Linked DNA regions of Notamacropus eugenii. The protein of the gene in region 2 binds, or shares a complex with, the protein of the main gene of each other region. Links are inferred from orthologs where the notes say so. Each region holds a gene or a part of one and is shown on either strand. Other genes may lie near its edges.

The links. Proteins that work in one complex are often made in the same cells at the same time.
Region 1: the proteins of TUBGCP3 (region 2) and MZT1 are in contact, whole or in part, in a cryo-EM structure (PDB 7QJD), measured with the Homo sapiens proteins. The link is inferred for Notamacropus eugenii from reciprocal best matches to the Homo sapiens genes TUBGCP3 and MZT1. Residues at the interface, in NP_006313.1 of Homo sapiens: Lys7, Pro9, Leu12, Leu13, Asn15, Leu16, Cys17, Arg19, Ile20, Leu21, Arg23, Val28, Gln31, Tyr34, Ala35, Val38, Ile39, Asn42, Phe43, Ala44, Pro45, Thr46, Ile58, Leu62, Arg67, Asp70, Phe74, Leu77, Lys80, Leu81; in NP_001065243.1 of Homo sapiens: Asn17, Ala20, Val21, Glu23, Thr24, Val27, Leu28, Glu30, Ile31, Ser32, Arg33, Ile34, Leu35, Asn36, Thr37, Leu39, Asp40, Glu42, Thr43, Ile46, Cys47, Val48, Arg49, Leu50, Cys51, Glu52, Gln53, Gly54, Ile55, Asn56.

The regions. Positions count from the first base shown.
Region 1 is NC_092877.1:265,287,164-265,294,359, reverse strand, and holds the start of MZT1 (mitotic-spindle organizing protein 1), read right to left. Parts: upstream 3,105-7,196; 5' UTR 2,996-3,104; coding exon 2,917-2,995; intron 1-2,916. Other genes in the region: BORA (protein aurora borealis), read left to right, coding at 4,346-4,501, 7,009-7,115. UniProt on the Homo sapiens protein: Required for the recruitment and the assembly of the gamma-tubulin ring complex (gTuRC) at the centrosome.
Region 2 is NC_092877.1:209,040,951-209,047,968, reverse strand, and holds the start of TUBGCP3 (gamma-tubulin complex component 3), read right to left. Parts: upstream 3,059-7,018; 5' UTR 2,819-3,058; coding exon 2,743-2,818; intron 1-2,742. UniProt on the Homo sapiens protein: Component of the gamma-tubulin ring complex (gTuRC) which mediates microtubule nucleation.

The DNA.
Region 1 (7,196 bases), about 56 Mb from region 2:
CCTCTTCCTCAGGACACAAGAATGATGGAGTCTATCTACTTCCCCTAATATCTCAACTTCTTCATATGCCTCACTAGAACAGCAGGTATGTCCTCAACCATATCCATCTAGTTTTAGGCAAGACCACAATAGTCAGTCAGTAAGAAAGCAGCACCAGAAGGATACCGAGCAGGATGTTTGATCACTAAATCACAGAAGGGACTTTCTTTCCATAAGTGGATGCCTGTGCAGTGATAGCTTTTAGGTAAACTTGTGATGTAGAGAGGCTTATTATAATTATCCTACATTAATAACCCCCCCGGGGGGTTTTCTGTATGCATTATGGGTAGCCACATGTGCAATTCCACCAAGGCCAGGACCTCTCCCCATATTAGTAAATCCCTCCTATGTTTTAATATTCATATATTCCAATATGCTAATAACACCATTTGCTCTATAAAAATTCCTGTCTTGCTTTGCTAAGCTGTTAGCTCCTCTAAGGAGCCTAGCCAGTTTTCTGAGATTGTTATCATCAATAGATGCCTTTGCTTGGGTTGGAAATGGTCTTTGTGAATTCTTTCAAGACAACCCTGCAACACACCATGACACCCCAACAATCCTGCTGAGTTATGTGGAGTGATTTGAGTGTAAAGTCAACATTACAAATCTGGGAGACCAGAAAAATAATGCCTTACAAAAAAATAGGAAATTTGGAAGAGGGGTACTTTTTTTTTTGCTGAAGGGTGGGGAGGGTGGATAATAAATTGTTTTAGATATGTCGAATTTAAGAAGTCTCTAGAAATTCAGTTTCAAATGTCTAAAAGGCAGTTTGGTGATGGTGAAATCAGGGGAGAAACTGGGACTGGATATATTGAACTGGGAATTATGATCACAAGTGGTAAACCCAGAACTTCAGAGAGGTTAGAAAGTGTGATGTCAATTATAATCCAGCAGAGAAGATTAAATCAGAAGATTAAAAAATAGTAGTAAGAATGGCAAAAGAACCAAGGAATGGAGCAGTATCACAAATCCCCTCAGTGATGGTAAGGGACTTAGGCTATCTCCACTAGGATCTAGGAATCAAGGGTGGGGAACCTTTGGCCTAAAAAAAGCATTTGTTGGTACTGTACTCAGTCAAAAGGCTGCACCCAAGAACCTTGAAGGCCACATGTGGCCTCCAGGCTGAAGGTTCCCCACCCCGAAGGTTCCTCACCCCTGATTCTAAGTCATTTGCATAGAGATGGAAATTGAAATCAAGGGAGCTGATGAGATCACCAAAAATGAGGACACAGAGAGAAGAGAGCGAACTTAACTAGTTGGAGGGTAGGATATGAATGATGTCAGCAAAGGAGCATGAGAAGGAGCAGTTAGACTAGTAAAAGCAAAAGGAACGAAGCAAGCAAACCCAAGAGAAGAAAGTATTCAGGAGTGTAAAATGCTGTAAAGAGCTTATGATGAATGAGGATATGAAAAGACCACAAAATATCACGGGTAATCTTGAAGAGAACAGTGTCACTTGGGTGATGAGGCTGTAAGACTTAAAGGGTTTGAGAATTGAGAAAAGAAATGGAGGCAAAGAGTATAAACAGCTTTTTCTAGAAGTTGGCCTGTAAATGGGAAGAGTCAGATTCAGAGAATGAAAGGATGGGAGAGTCTTTCAAGGGCATTTTTCTTTTCAAACGACGGGAGTCCGGAGCATATTTGGAAAATGCTGAAGTGGGAAGTGCAATACAAGAAAGGGAAATAGGAATAATGCAGGTTAAGGGAAGTCAATTACATCTGGTGGACAGTATTTATTAATGGTCCACTGAGTTTGAGGTTCTGTGCTCCAGGCACAGAAAGGGAGAAACAGTCCCTGCTTTCAAGAAACTCAGTCTAACTGGGTTGATTGTGGTCCTTGGCTCTGGAAGAGGACCAAAATGACATCACCACATAAACTCAACTTCCAACGTCTGAGCGGGCTGATCAGACCACTGCCGAGCTTGGAATGCTCTACCACAGGTTGAGCACAGACAGTCGGTGGGAATATGTGGGGTGGATACTCTATATTTGTGCCTTCTATGTTTACTTTGTAATGTCTCAATCTGGGCCCTGTGGTGAGCAGTCCTGCGCCAGCGTCTCCCATGACAACACGCAAACAACCGCATAGAAATAAGTTACAATTAGGATACATTGTAAATAATCAGGATACATTGTAAAAGATCATCACCTCTGCAAGGACTGGACCGGCACCTTTTGCTTCGCGAGCAGAGACTGAGGAAACTACCATTTGCATAAGCTATTATTTCTTTCATAGCAAACACTTCAGTCATCTCTGCCTAAGGAATTTCAATCTCATCACGTGAAGTCACGCAAACTCAAGCCCTGCCGCAACTTTTTCTTCTTTTCATCGGGCTCACGTTCATCCAGACGCAGGCCCTTTTCCCCCAGGTTCCCACCTACACACCCAGACGCTCCCGGGCCTTTCACTTTGCTCACCCTCCAGTGCACAGACACTACGTGGGTTCCCGTGGCCCACGCCACACTCAGTGCGTGGACACACGACCCGGCCCGACCCGACGCCACGAGAGTTCCTCCCAGCACCCCCGCGCTGGACCGCGTTTGGATCCGCTTTAGAGCAAACAGTGGGAGGAGGCCGAGGAAGGGAGCGCGACCCCCGGGGTCCCAGACCAGGGAGGGATAACGGACCCACGCACATTCCGGGCGCCAGGAGCGCGACGCCGACGTGGGGAAACGGGACGACGCGCGCGACCGCGTACGTAGAAGCCGTGGAGGCTCCCCTCGAAGGCGAGGCGTCGACCGACTCGGGGCTGTCGGGGAAGCGGTCCGGGAAAAGGAGGGTTATTCTCAAGCTTCCAACGGAACCACCCCTTTCGTTGGGCCCCGCGTCTGCCTGCGAACTGGAGAGGAGGAGAAGGGACAGGGACGGGAACTCACCGTCCATGGTCTCCCTCACCGCGTTCAGGTTGGCCGCGGCGGCCGCCGCAGCCGCAGCGCCGCTATTACTCCCTGCCATGGCGACTGCCCGCCAAGGCAGGGGAAAAGCGGGAGAACCGTTTGACCCGGAACAGGAGGTAGTGTCCTGTTCTCCCGGGCAATCAGGCTGCGCGTCGTCTCCTCACGCCGGAGGGAGGCTCCGCCCCTCGCGCTGTGTGTCTGCCGCCGTGAGGCGCTCCATAAAGTTGCGTTCGTTTGAATCCCGGGGCCTCGTTACTATGGGGGCGTGAAGCGCGAAGTTTCCATTCGAATTTCCTACGCGATGGCCGTCTGATTGGCCAGTTCGAGGACGGCTCGCAGCCACGATTGGCTGAGCTCCCGGAAGCCCCGAGCCCTGGTTGGTCCTCGGCATCTCGGAATCTGGGAGTTAAAGAGTAGCTGGCTGCTGCTGCCGCGGCAGCTGCTGGACCCCCGGGAGGACTACCTGGATTCTCCATCTCTGCAGCTCTCGCACCGTGAGAATCGTGGCTTCTCACCCACGGCTTAGAGGTACGTGTTCTGGAGGGGCTCCCCCTTCAACCCCCTCATTGTATCGGGATTGCTTTTTTCCCGGGTTCCTTGCTGGCCAGTCCTCCCGCGCCGAGCGTGCCCTAGGAGAATGGGGGAGAACGGGGATAGCTCTGAACTTCCTCTTTCCGGCAGACCGAGGCTGCCTTTGTGGAACTTCTGGGAAGGCACGTTTCACCCTACTGGCACCCCTCCTCTGTCTCGGGATGGAGGCCACCTTGTGTCCTGTCCTGGAAACGTTAGACCCCTTGCCCACCTAGGGAACGTGAGCCTGTAACTGGCCCAGACCTGAGCAAGCGTATTGTTTTGGAGTAATGGCATAGACCTTAAAAAGAAGGTTGGATGAGCCGAGGCTGTGTAGGTGAATGGAGAGGGTGTGTGCTTTCCCTCTCTTATTAATGCCCAGTTTGTCCTCTGTAAGTCTTGTTTTGTACGTAGGTTGCATGTGTTCACCCACCTTAGACTGTGAGCTCCTTCAGAGCAGGGGCCCTCTTCTGCCCTGTTTTGTGCCCCCATGGCTTAGCACGGCTCCTGAGTAATTGACTAGCTGAGTTTGCTGAAATACCACAGAGTTCTTGTAGATCGAGGTAAGCTGTTAGAGAGAAGTTTAAGTTTGTTGATCAGGCATGTGGCAAAGTTCCTCAGTGGGGTTGTGGGGGGTGGGGGAGAAGGTTACTTTGTTTCCACTCTAAATTTTTTCACAAGATTTTACACCATCCTCTATTGTTGGAAGCCACAATTTTATTCTTAACATTGTAGTCATTTCTTCTTGTTTTGTAAAGGATTGTCATGAATGCTATGGTCAGATTTCAATAAGGGAAAACTGATGATCCTGTCTGTGATTTTCTTTCAGTTTTATGCTATGGGAGATGTCAAAGAAGCTAAAATGCAAATAACACCGGAAACTCCGGGAAAGATCACTGTCCTAAATCCTTTTGAAAGTCCAAGTGATTATTCCAGCCTGCAAGAACAAATCGTCTCCAGTCCTTCAGCATTTAAATCTACAAAATCTTCATCCGTAAGAATTGAATCATATGACTTATAAAAATATATTCAAATAAAAACATTTCCTCACTACAGGTAACAGTGTGACACTTAGAGAACATGTTTGTTAATAGCAATAATAGCAGTGCCTGACTAATAGTGCTTTATGGCTATAAGCACTTGGTTGGCTGCATGTTATCTCCATTTTAAAGATGAGTTCATAGACTTGCCAGCAGTCATCATGTTTAGGAAGTGCCAAAGCTAAGATTAATGCTTAGGTCTGCTTTCAGAGTCAGTGCACATCTCAGTCTCCATAGTTGGTTTCCTTGTTGAAGTTTGTGAAAAATATGAAGTCATTTAAGCTTCCTAAGTTTCTTCAGTTTTAGCCCAAAGTAGTATTCAGTAAAGCCTTGTGGATGGCCTAAAGAAAAGCAAAAATTTCTCTGAGTTCATCTTTTTAACTTGACACATTTTATCAGGAAGTTCTAACATCACAGATTCCATGGTGATAATGCATTTAATTAAAATAGATTGGGATTATAACTTTTTACTGAATTTCTAGGAAGGTTCTCTGATGTCGTCTTACTATGAAGGTAACTTTAGATTCTTAATCATACTAACAGCATAAATTTGGCAGGTTGTACTTAGGTAGAAAATTTTTAAGACTAGTTCAGTGCTTTTCAGGATCCATTATAGACAAACTTATCAACAAGAGGTTGGGTGTTAAACAATTCATTATTTGTCCATGGTGACCCATGAAACAGAAGATTCATTGGATCTCTGATCACACTGTAGACATTCCTTTCAGAAACCTGCCTTGTAACTCATATATGTGCCCTCATCCTGGAAGATTGGACTATGTCCTCCTATAAATTTTAATGAGTGCCCTATCCAAAGAGATGGGATTTTTTTCTACATTTCTAGAGAGGGGTCCATGCAGTGAAAGACAAAGGCTATCTTTCATATATGGCTGACAGCAACATAGTGTGGGTTACATGTTGGAGTTGGAATCTGGAAAACCTGAGCTCAAAATCTGCCTATGACACCTCTTCACTTTTTGACCATAGTTAAGTCGCTTAACCTCAATGAATTTCATTTTCCTTTTGCCTCATGAAGTTGTTGTGAGACTTGAAATAATCTATGTAAATTGCATTGCAAACTTTAAAGCACTCTATGAATGTCACCAATTTGGTGAGGCAACATGGTGTAGGGGATGGAGTATTTGACTTGGACTTAGAAAAACATAGGTTTACATACTGCCCCTTCACATTTAATGGCCATGTGTATGTTCCTGGGCAAGTCAGAGTGTCCTTAGATTTGTTTTTTGTGCTTTAAAATGGGGTTAATAATACACGTAACAATTGCCTCGCCTCATCCTGAGCTCTGACTTGGTAACGTATGTAAACTACTTTGTGAACTTTAAAGTACCATACAAATTTTAGTGGTTATTGATATCATCGTTTCTCTCTTTTGCTACATGATTTCCTGTGATTCCTTTCACTGGCATGCTTTATACCTCTTCTTTCATGCAGTTCTGCTTTGTTCATGTGTTTTATTGAACTCCGTTTTGCAAGTAAGGAAACTGAGGCATACAGAGGAGTTATCAGATTTGTTCAAAGTTATATAACTAATGTGGGCAGCTAGGTGGCCTAAAGTCAGGAGGATCTGAATTCAGATCCGGTATCAGGCACTTACTCTCAGTGTGTCCCTGGGCTGGTCACTTAACCCTGCTTGCTTCAGTTTCCTCACATGTAAAATGAACCGGAGAAGGAAATAGCAAACTTCTTGTCTTTGCCAAGAAAACCCCAAATGGGGTTGCAGAGAGTCAGATATGACTGACAACTAAAAAAGACTGACAGACAACATATCACTAACGTAACATGGCAGGGATTTGAATGTAGGTCTTCTGATTCCCAATTTCAGGGGTCTTTTCATTACATCCACAATTTTCCCTTAGCATATTTCTTTGTTGGGAAAAGTCAGACCATAGCAAGCACTTACGTTCTTATTTACTGACTGGTTGTTATTAATTTATTCAAAATTCGTCCCTATGGAGTGTCTTGATTATTTAAAATAGAAATTAGTAAATTTGTCCATATTACCTTTTGTTTTAGTAGTTTTTATTCTAATTTTGTAAAGGCAGAATATCATAGTAGATATTAAAGAAGTTTAGGGAGATGTGGGTTCAAGTCCTGCATGTAGCATTACTAGCTGTGGGCCAATATTTTAACCTCTCAGTGCCCCAGGCAACTTTCTAAGACTAATTCCTGATCAATTGCTCATCTAGGTTGATGGAGAGAGTTTCTATACCAGGCTTCCCTATTCTGATCAAATCATAGCTCTTGCCCTGCTTCTCCTACCCTTTTGACTCCCTCCACCCACCCCAATGTTAATGTGTCACTAGCTTTAGAGAACATTGTGTTAAATGTTGGCTGCTCCTAGTCTTCCTGAAGGTGACTTTTATTAGTTTTTTGATAGAATAGTAAACATTGTGCAGCTCACCGTTTTATTCATAAATGTTCGTTTCTTTTTTTTGTTAAGACTCCAGGGAAATTTAGATGGTCTATTGATCAACTTGCTGTCATAAATCCTGTGGAAATAGATCCAGAAGACGTTCATCGTCAAGCTATATATTTAAGTCATTCTAGGTAAGTTTTTGTATACTTGCCCTGAAGTGTAATAACCTGCTCTTGAAAAGTAGTAGAAAATGAAACCTTTAAATTGATATA
Region 2 (7,018 bases):
TTTTTGTTAATTTCTAATGAGGCACAGGGTCATGAGGGTCATGCCCTCCAGCCCTGAAAAGGGTATAAAGACTCTGAGGTGAGGTTTTGCTTTGGGGCTAATTTTTTGGAATAAGGTTCATGTGCCAAGAAGAGACTCTGGGCAGCTGCTAAGGAGCCCCCCTCCCCTGAAAACCCAGATGTTGGTGCTTCTATCTCTGCTAATGATGTCAGACTATTGGAAGCCCTGTTGGTCCTTCTGTTTGTAATTACTGCTTTTTATTTCTGTTTGTATTTTCCCTGAAGTTCGGGGTGCCGATTTTCTCCCCTGAACTAAGTGAATGATACATGTGCTTGATTAAAGTGATTGTTGATCCCTCAAAAGTTGCTTTCCTTTTAGAAAAGCACATCAAAGATCCTGTACAGGAGGCCCTTCTGTGTATGCTGGGGTCCCTGCTGTGACACATGACTATTATGGATGTGTTTTACATGACTACATATACATAACTTACATCAAACTGCATGTCTTCTCAATGAGGCTGGGTGGGATGGGAGGGAGGGAGAGAATCTGGAACTCAAAGTTTTAAAAACAAATGTTAAAAATTGTTTTTACATGTAACTAGAGAAAAATAAAATACTAAATAAAAGCCAACCTGAAAAAAATACATATGCATACTCTTCTCTCTCTCTCTCTCTCTCTCTCAAAACAATTTAGAGTGGCTTTGTTATTCCATCAAAAGCAAAGCCTCACAAAGGGCACTGTTGCGAAAAGATGGTATCAAATATTTGTTACTTACCACTCAAGTTAACGACACAAACACTAGTAATTACTATAGGCTAAATATAGACTACTATAGACAAAAAAGTCTAACTAGATAAACATTTTAACCAGAACTCAGATAAATTGTATCTAAACAGGCCATGAAATCTACACCACCAGAGGCAGTATGGCACAATGGAATGAATGCTAGGATCCAGAGAGGAGCTCTTTCCTATGTCAGTTCTGCCACTTTAAGTGATCTTTAAATAAGCCATCTCACATCTCTGCAATTCCCTCGAAACTATGGGCCTCCATCTGTAAAGGTCTCAATCTCTAAGGTCATTCCAGTTCTAAACCCAAGATCCTGTAAATATTTTAAATAAATGTAGCAATTGACCATTCCTTTTCTCTGCTGAATGGAACAGCAAATACTATCAACAGCACATAGCAGCATACATCAAAATGTTAAGTATGCCACCTCACTTCACTTCAGTTATCCAACACACAGCAAAGAACCTGGAAATAAGCAAAAAAGGTCCCTAAACAACAAAATTTGTCAATGTGTTCCTATCTGAACCTCTAAGGCTCTTTATTCTAAATTAAAACAATTCTTACAAGAATTGTAAGACCACAGTTGATTAAAAGCAATAAATTAGTATAACAAATTATTAATAAATTAGCAGAAATCCTGGAGAAAGGTACACACTGAAAATAGTGAAAAGTGGGCAATGATGAAAGAGGCTAAAAGACTATGAAAACTCAGTTGACACAGTACAGAGACCACAAGAGATAAAGCAACGGACTCGAAGTTACTAAGACCTAGATGTGAACTCCAACTAAACCATTTATTGACTAGGAAGAAATCATGTAAACTTAGCAGGACTGTTTCTTCATCTGTAAAATGGGGTTAATAACACCAACTGAAACTACCTCAAAGAGCTGTTTGAGCTCAAATGAGACAATGATGTAAAATGCCTTCAAAACCTATAAAGTTCAGGTATTATTGTTAGGGGCAAATGGCCCAGCACCCTTCCACAGTCCCTGAGAATATAAGCCACTGCAGTAATTATCATAAGTCACTAAGAAAAGGTTAAGTGATGTTCAGCACACTCTGTTTAAGAGGCAGGGATGCAAGGATCCTATTTTGTCAATTTCATCACAAATGGTTACATTTTTAAAAAGCTTCAGTGCTAGATGGGCAAAGTTTCATTTAGCCAGACAATTCACTTACATGAAAGTCAATTTCTTTTTCTCATTACTTCCAAGGATCTAAGATTACATTAATGCAGCTGATCCCGGTGGGAAGGAAGATCACAAGCCCTCCACACCTGAACAGTTTCATGAGTGGCTCCAGGCAAAATTCCTTCACCTGGAAGCCAACCTTCTGAGAACCCACTGGAATTTAAATACGTCTGTCTTACAATTTCATCACTGGATCTATAACCAAAGCCTTTACAGAAAATGGCAGGAGGAGGGCTGTGTGTGTTTAGTTTTGTTTTTTTTAGTACTGTGGCTATAAGGCTTTTGGTTTCTCGTCAGTGACGGTGATAGTTCAAACAATTCAGTAGTTTGGGGGCCTATTCATCCTTCCGTCCTCACCCAGTGGTTGAGCGATTGAACCAGTTCCATTTTCCCTTTTGGGGGAGAAAAAGAGCAAACCTTCCCCTCTCTCCAAAAAATGTGACCATGTTTTGGTCACGGGTGGCTACCACGTAGCAGCCACTCCTGCGCAGCTGTGGGAACTCATCCACCCAACCCCACCCACCAAGTTTTCCCAGAACCAAAAGGAGCCCGCCCTCCCCTGCTCATGACGTGACCCGCCCACCCCACCCCCCAAAGGGGGATAAATTCTCCGCCCGCCTCCACCTCACCCCCCTTCCAGAGACCAGAGAAGGGGCCGGGGGTCTCCAAGCGCAATGACTCAGCCTCCGCCAGGCAGCAAAGGGGGAGGGGCCCCCGGCGAAGGAGGGGGGCCCCTGGGGCGGGGGGAGGGGGCGCCGTTACCTTCGCTCTTGCCCAGAATCCGGCAGCACAGGTTCTGCAGTAGAACGTTCGGGGACTTCTGGTCCGGAGTCGCCATCCTCGCGCCGGGGGAGGAGGGAGTGGGGAAGCGCGCGCCCACGGGGAGGGGAGGGGAAGGAAGGGGAGGGGGTGGGAGACCGCCGCCACCACCCCCCGCCCCGCCCCCTCCTCCACCTGCCTCCTGCCCCTCGGCCCCCTCCCCCCGGCGCGCACCGGGGGCTCTGCCGCGGCGCTCGCCTCCTTTTCCCGCCCACCCACGCGGGTCTCCAGGCGCCTCCGCGGCCGGCCGCTCGCCCAACGCTTAGGGACGGCGCGTCACCGCGGCGCCATTTTAACAGAACCCGCCGAAACTCCCGGCAAGCCCCACAATGCTTAGCTCCGGCACGCCGCGCCCCTCCTCCCAGGCTCCTTGGGTGCAGCTGTCCCGGCCGCGTGCGTCCTCCCCCGCGCCTTGGGCCGCGCCGGGGAAGGTTCCGCGGCTCCCGCGGTCCTCCCCAGCGGCCGAGCGGGGTTCAGAGGGAGCTTGCCGCTCCCCGGGGTCTGCTCGTTAACCAGTCTTCTCAGCCGAAGGTACGGCGCCTCGTTAAAAGGGTAGTTTCAAAGAACCTCCCGTCTCACTGTCAGTTAAGCCATGAAATGAGCCTTGAAGCGCGCAGGGTGCAACCCGGAGAGGTGAAGTGACTTGGCTAGGGGCACCTGGAGAAGCAGCCGTGCCAGTCCTCACGCTGCGGTGCAGGCTGCCCAGATCCCAAAATATCTCCCTAATGAAGCATCCACAGCCCCTAAAATTCCTACCCTACCTTCGGCTTAAGACCCATGAAGTTCCCTTTAACGTTCAGCAGAGAGGAGTGTACTATTGTGGATACAGCGCTGCTTCTAGTCGGGCAGACAGTTCAAGTCCTTGCCTCTAACTTGGGCAAGTAACTGGACTTTTCATTTAAGAGCCATTAACTTCTCTGTTTCAAGTAGTTTCTCAGAATAGCCTTGGATTAGAACTTGCACCTGAAATTGTACGGATAGTGTCACTTCCCGACTCAAAAACCCTTCAGTGGTTCTTTATTGCCCACCAAGTGACGTTCAGAGGCCTTGCCTTGGCTACTTTGTATACATTTTCTATTTACTTATGTGTACTTGCTGTACTCTGATACAATGTAACTTCTTTGAAGACGTCCTTGGCGGAGTGGTTGACTTGTAGTAGGCTCTTCATAAATAGGTGTTGATTGATTTATTAGCATAGCATTCAAACCCCTCAGTGATGCCACCTCAATTCACCTTTCAATTCAATACAGCCAATATTTATTAAAGTAATGTACAGTTAAAGTAATGTACAATTAAAATAAAGTAGTGTACACAGTCAGCCAGTCAATTAACGAAGGCTAGACACTGTGGCAGACACATAACTTAAATATGACACAATTCCTACTCTCATAGATTCTGTGGTCTAGTAAGGAGATAGGATACATATTCAAATGATTATAATAGAAAATGATACATAAGTTCAGAAGAGGTATAAGCAAAATATTATGTAAGGTCCAAAGGAAAAGCACCTTAGGAAAAGATGTATTTAAATTGAGCTTTAATTTAAATTGAGCTTTAAAGGATTTGTAGGAATTCAAGGGTTGGCCCACTAGGGTGAGATTCCCATTCTCCCACCCCAAATGGCTATGTTCCCATGAAATGCTATATGTAACTTTCTTATGATACAACTCTTTCTACAATATATTATGGTTGCAAAGGCTATAAGGACATTAGATTATAGCTGTCAAGATGTTGTATTATCCAAGCTCCTTGTTTCCCTTCACCAAAAACCCAGAGGCTCTGCATTTGGGCAATCATGCAGCTCTGCCTCCTACATAGTCTATGTCAGAGTCTGATGTCATTTTGGGGGATTGTCAACATCTACCACTTAAATCTCTCAGCTAGTTCCTCACCAACAACTAAAAACTCCCCTTCTCCCCTTTTCTTTGTGTATGCTTCATAAGATCCCTTCTGTCAGCACCATTACTTTTTTTAATTAGCACAGTTTTAAAAAATACTCAAATACTTAAATGTGTCTGTCAAGATATTAGGAAACACTCTGTTTTCCAGAGCTAAGACTCAGCAAGCAAGCTGTGCCATAAGCTTGGCATAACAACAATCCTTTGCACTTACCTTCTGGAACTGATGGTCCCTGAGCTCCAGACATGAAGCTCCAGACACGAAGCCTGCAACGAACAGACTTTTTGTCACCAGACAACCCTGCCTCACTGTTGCTACACTATACTGTTTGACTCTTTGTCTAGCCTCAAATGTATAAATCAAGGTTCAGCCACACAAAAACAGGTTCCTCCACTAGGAATAGGGCCCTGGCACATGTGTTCAATCTGCCTCCTTGCTTGTGTGCAATTTCCCTCACTTTGAAATTGAACTTGTTTGATTTCTGACTCTCCTGTCTCTGGCCTGCTCTTTTCAGCTCTGGCCATCCACAAGTTAGAGGCCAGTTGGGTCTGGTTGACAGATCTAAAATTCCATCCATTCAGGAGCTGCTTCCATCAATGTAGATCTCTACCCATTTATGTTTGCCTAGCTTGTGCCACTCTTGTTGCAATGTAGTAGGAATCTCCTTTACTTTCTTTCTCTCAACATCAAGAGTATCACTAGAACCTTCTACCTGTCATCCCTTGCTATTGCCACTGGCTTAGCCTTTCTCTTGCTTTCATACAGTTCCTTACCCACATCGTTCATTCCTAGGCTTTAGAGTTCCCCAGTGACTGTTTGTTGTAGCCTGTACACACACACACACACACACACACACACACACACACACACACACACACACCACCTCTTCCTTGCCTTTTTTTTGTGATAATCACCTTTGGTTCTTTGGAGGCAGCGTGCTACATATCTCACTGCCATATAGCAATGTTAGTAAAGGAGTAAAATTGAAGAGATGGACCTTTGCTACCATAAGAAACTTCGGGTCAGGGAAGGAACTTTGCAATTTCCTGAAAGTAATACAATCTGTTCTCCTCTTTTTCAACTCTGAGCCACCTCATTGTCCTTCAATTCCATCAGTACCAGTTATACGTACTGCTTGACAGGTTCTATAGGGTATTACCCAGATGCATATTGAAATCTTGGAAACAGACATTCTTCATCCACTTGGTCTTTCCTGTGTGGATGGACAAGACAAACTCCTTTGCATTTTTACAGATGTAATTTGAGGAAGCAGCACAATGCAATAAATGCTAAACTTGGATTCATGGGACCTGATCTCAAAGCCTGGCTTTGTCACTTAATCCCTTTCTATCTCTAAGCCTCAGTTTCCTCATCTATAAAATAAAGGGTTTGGACTAGATGATGTCTTGGTTCCCTTCCAGCTCTAGATCCATGATTTTACAAGTCCATGAATAACAAAGCACTGACCACACATATACCAGACTAATCACTTATTCCCTGCTACTATCTTTGCCATAGCAGGAAGGGAAAGAACTTCCTAGAAGTTCAGTTCTAGGAAGCTCTCAGTTGGGAACTGAGCAAAGGGAAGTTCATTCTTGAACAGGTATGGCTTCTTAAATTTCTCTGATGAATAAGGGAAACACAGGTCATTTCAGTGTTTCTCTAGACTGTAGTATAAAGCAGGTATGACTGAAGAAGTAACTTTTGTCATTTTTACCTCTCACTTCCCCAGCAAATCCAAATCTCACCTCCTTTACATGAGATTGAGAATGTTCATCAATCTAAACTTATCTCCCTTTAGGAATGGGACAAAGGGTGCTGGGTTTTCCTAATGGAAAAAGTGCTGCCTAAGTATCAACATCCTTCCAAAGATAAAGAGATGGAGAGAGAAAGTCAGCTACACTCTAACTTTTTTTTTCCTTTTGAGATTGGAGCACTCTATCTCACCCAAATTGGAAGTACAGCAACAATCTGATCCAGCTACAGATCACCACACAAATTCTGACCTGCATGGTTTCCAACCTGGGCCAATTTTCCCATTCTTTGGTAGCCCCCCCTACTCTCAATAGCTCACCATATTGATGCCAGATGTAGTGTGAACACCAAATCAACTATAGCTCTACTTCAGCTCAGAATCCCAGCTAAAGTGATCCAGCAGCCTCAGCCTCCCCAGGAACAGAGACTGCAGGTGAGCTCCATCATGTACAACCTCTGTATTAGCTTTCAAAACATCCACTCCCATATCTCTCAAATGAGTATAATCCAACCCTAGACTTGCCCATCATCTATGGTGCATAGGGACAACCCTATTACATGATAG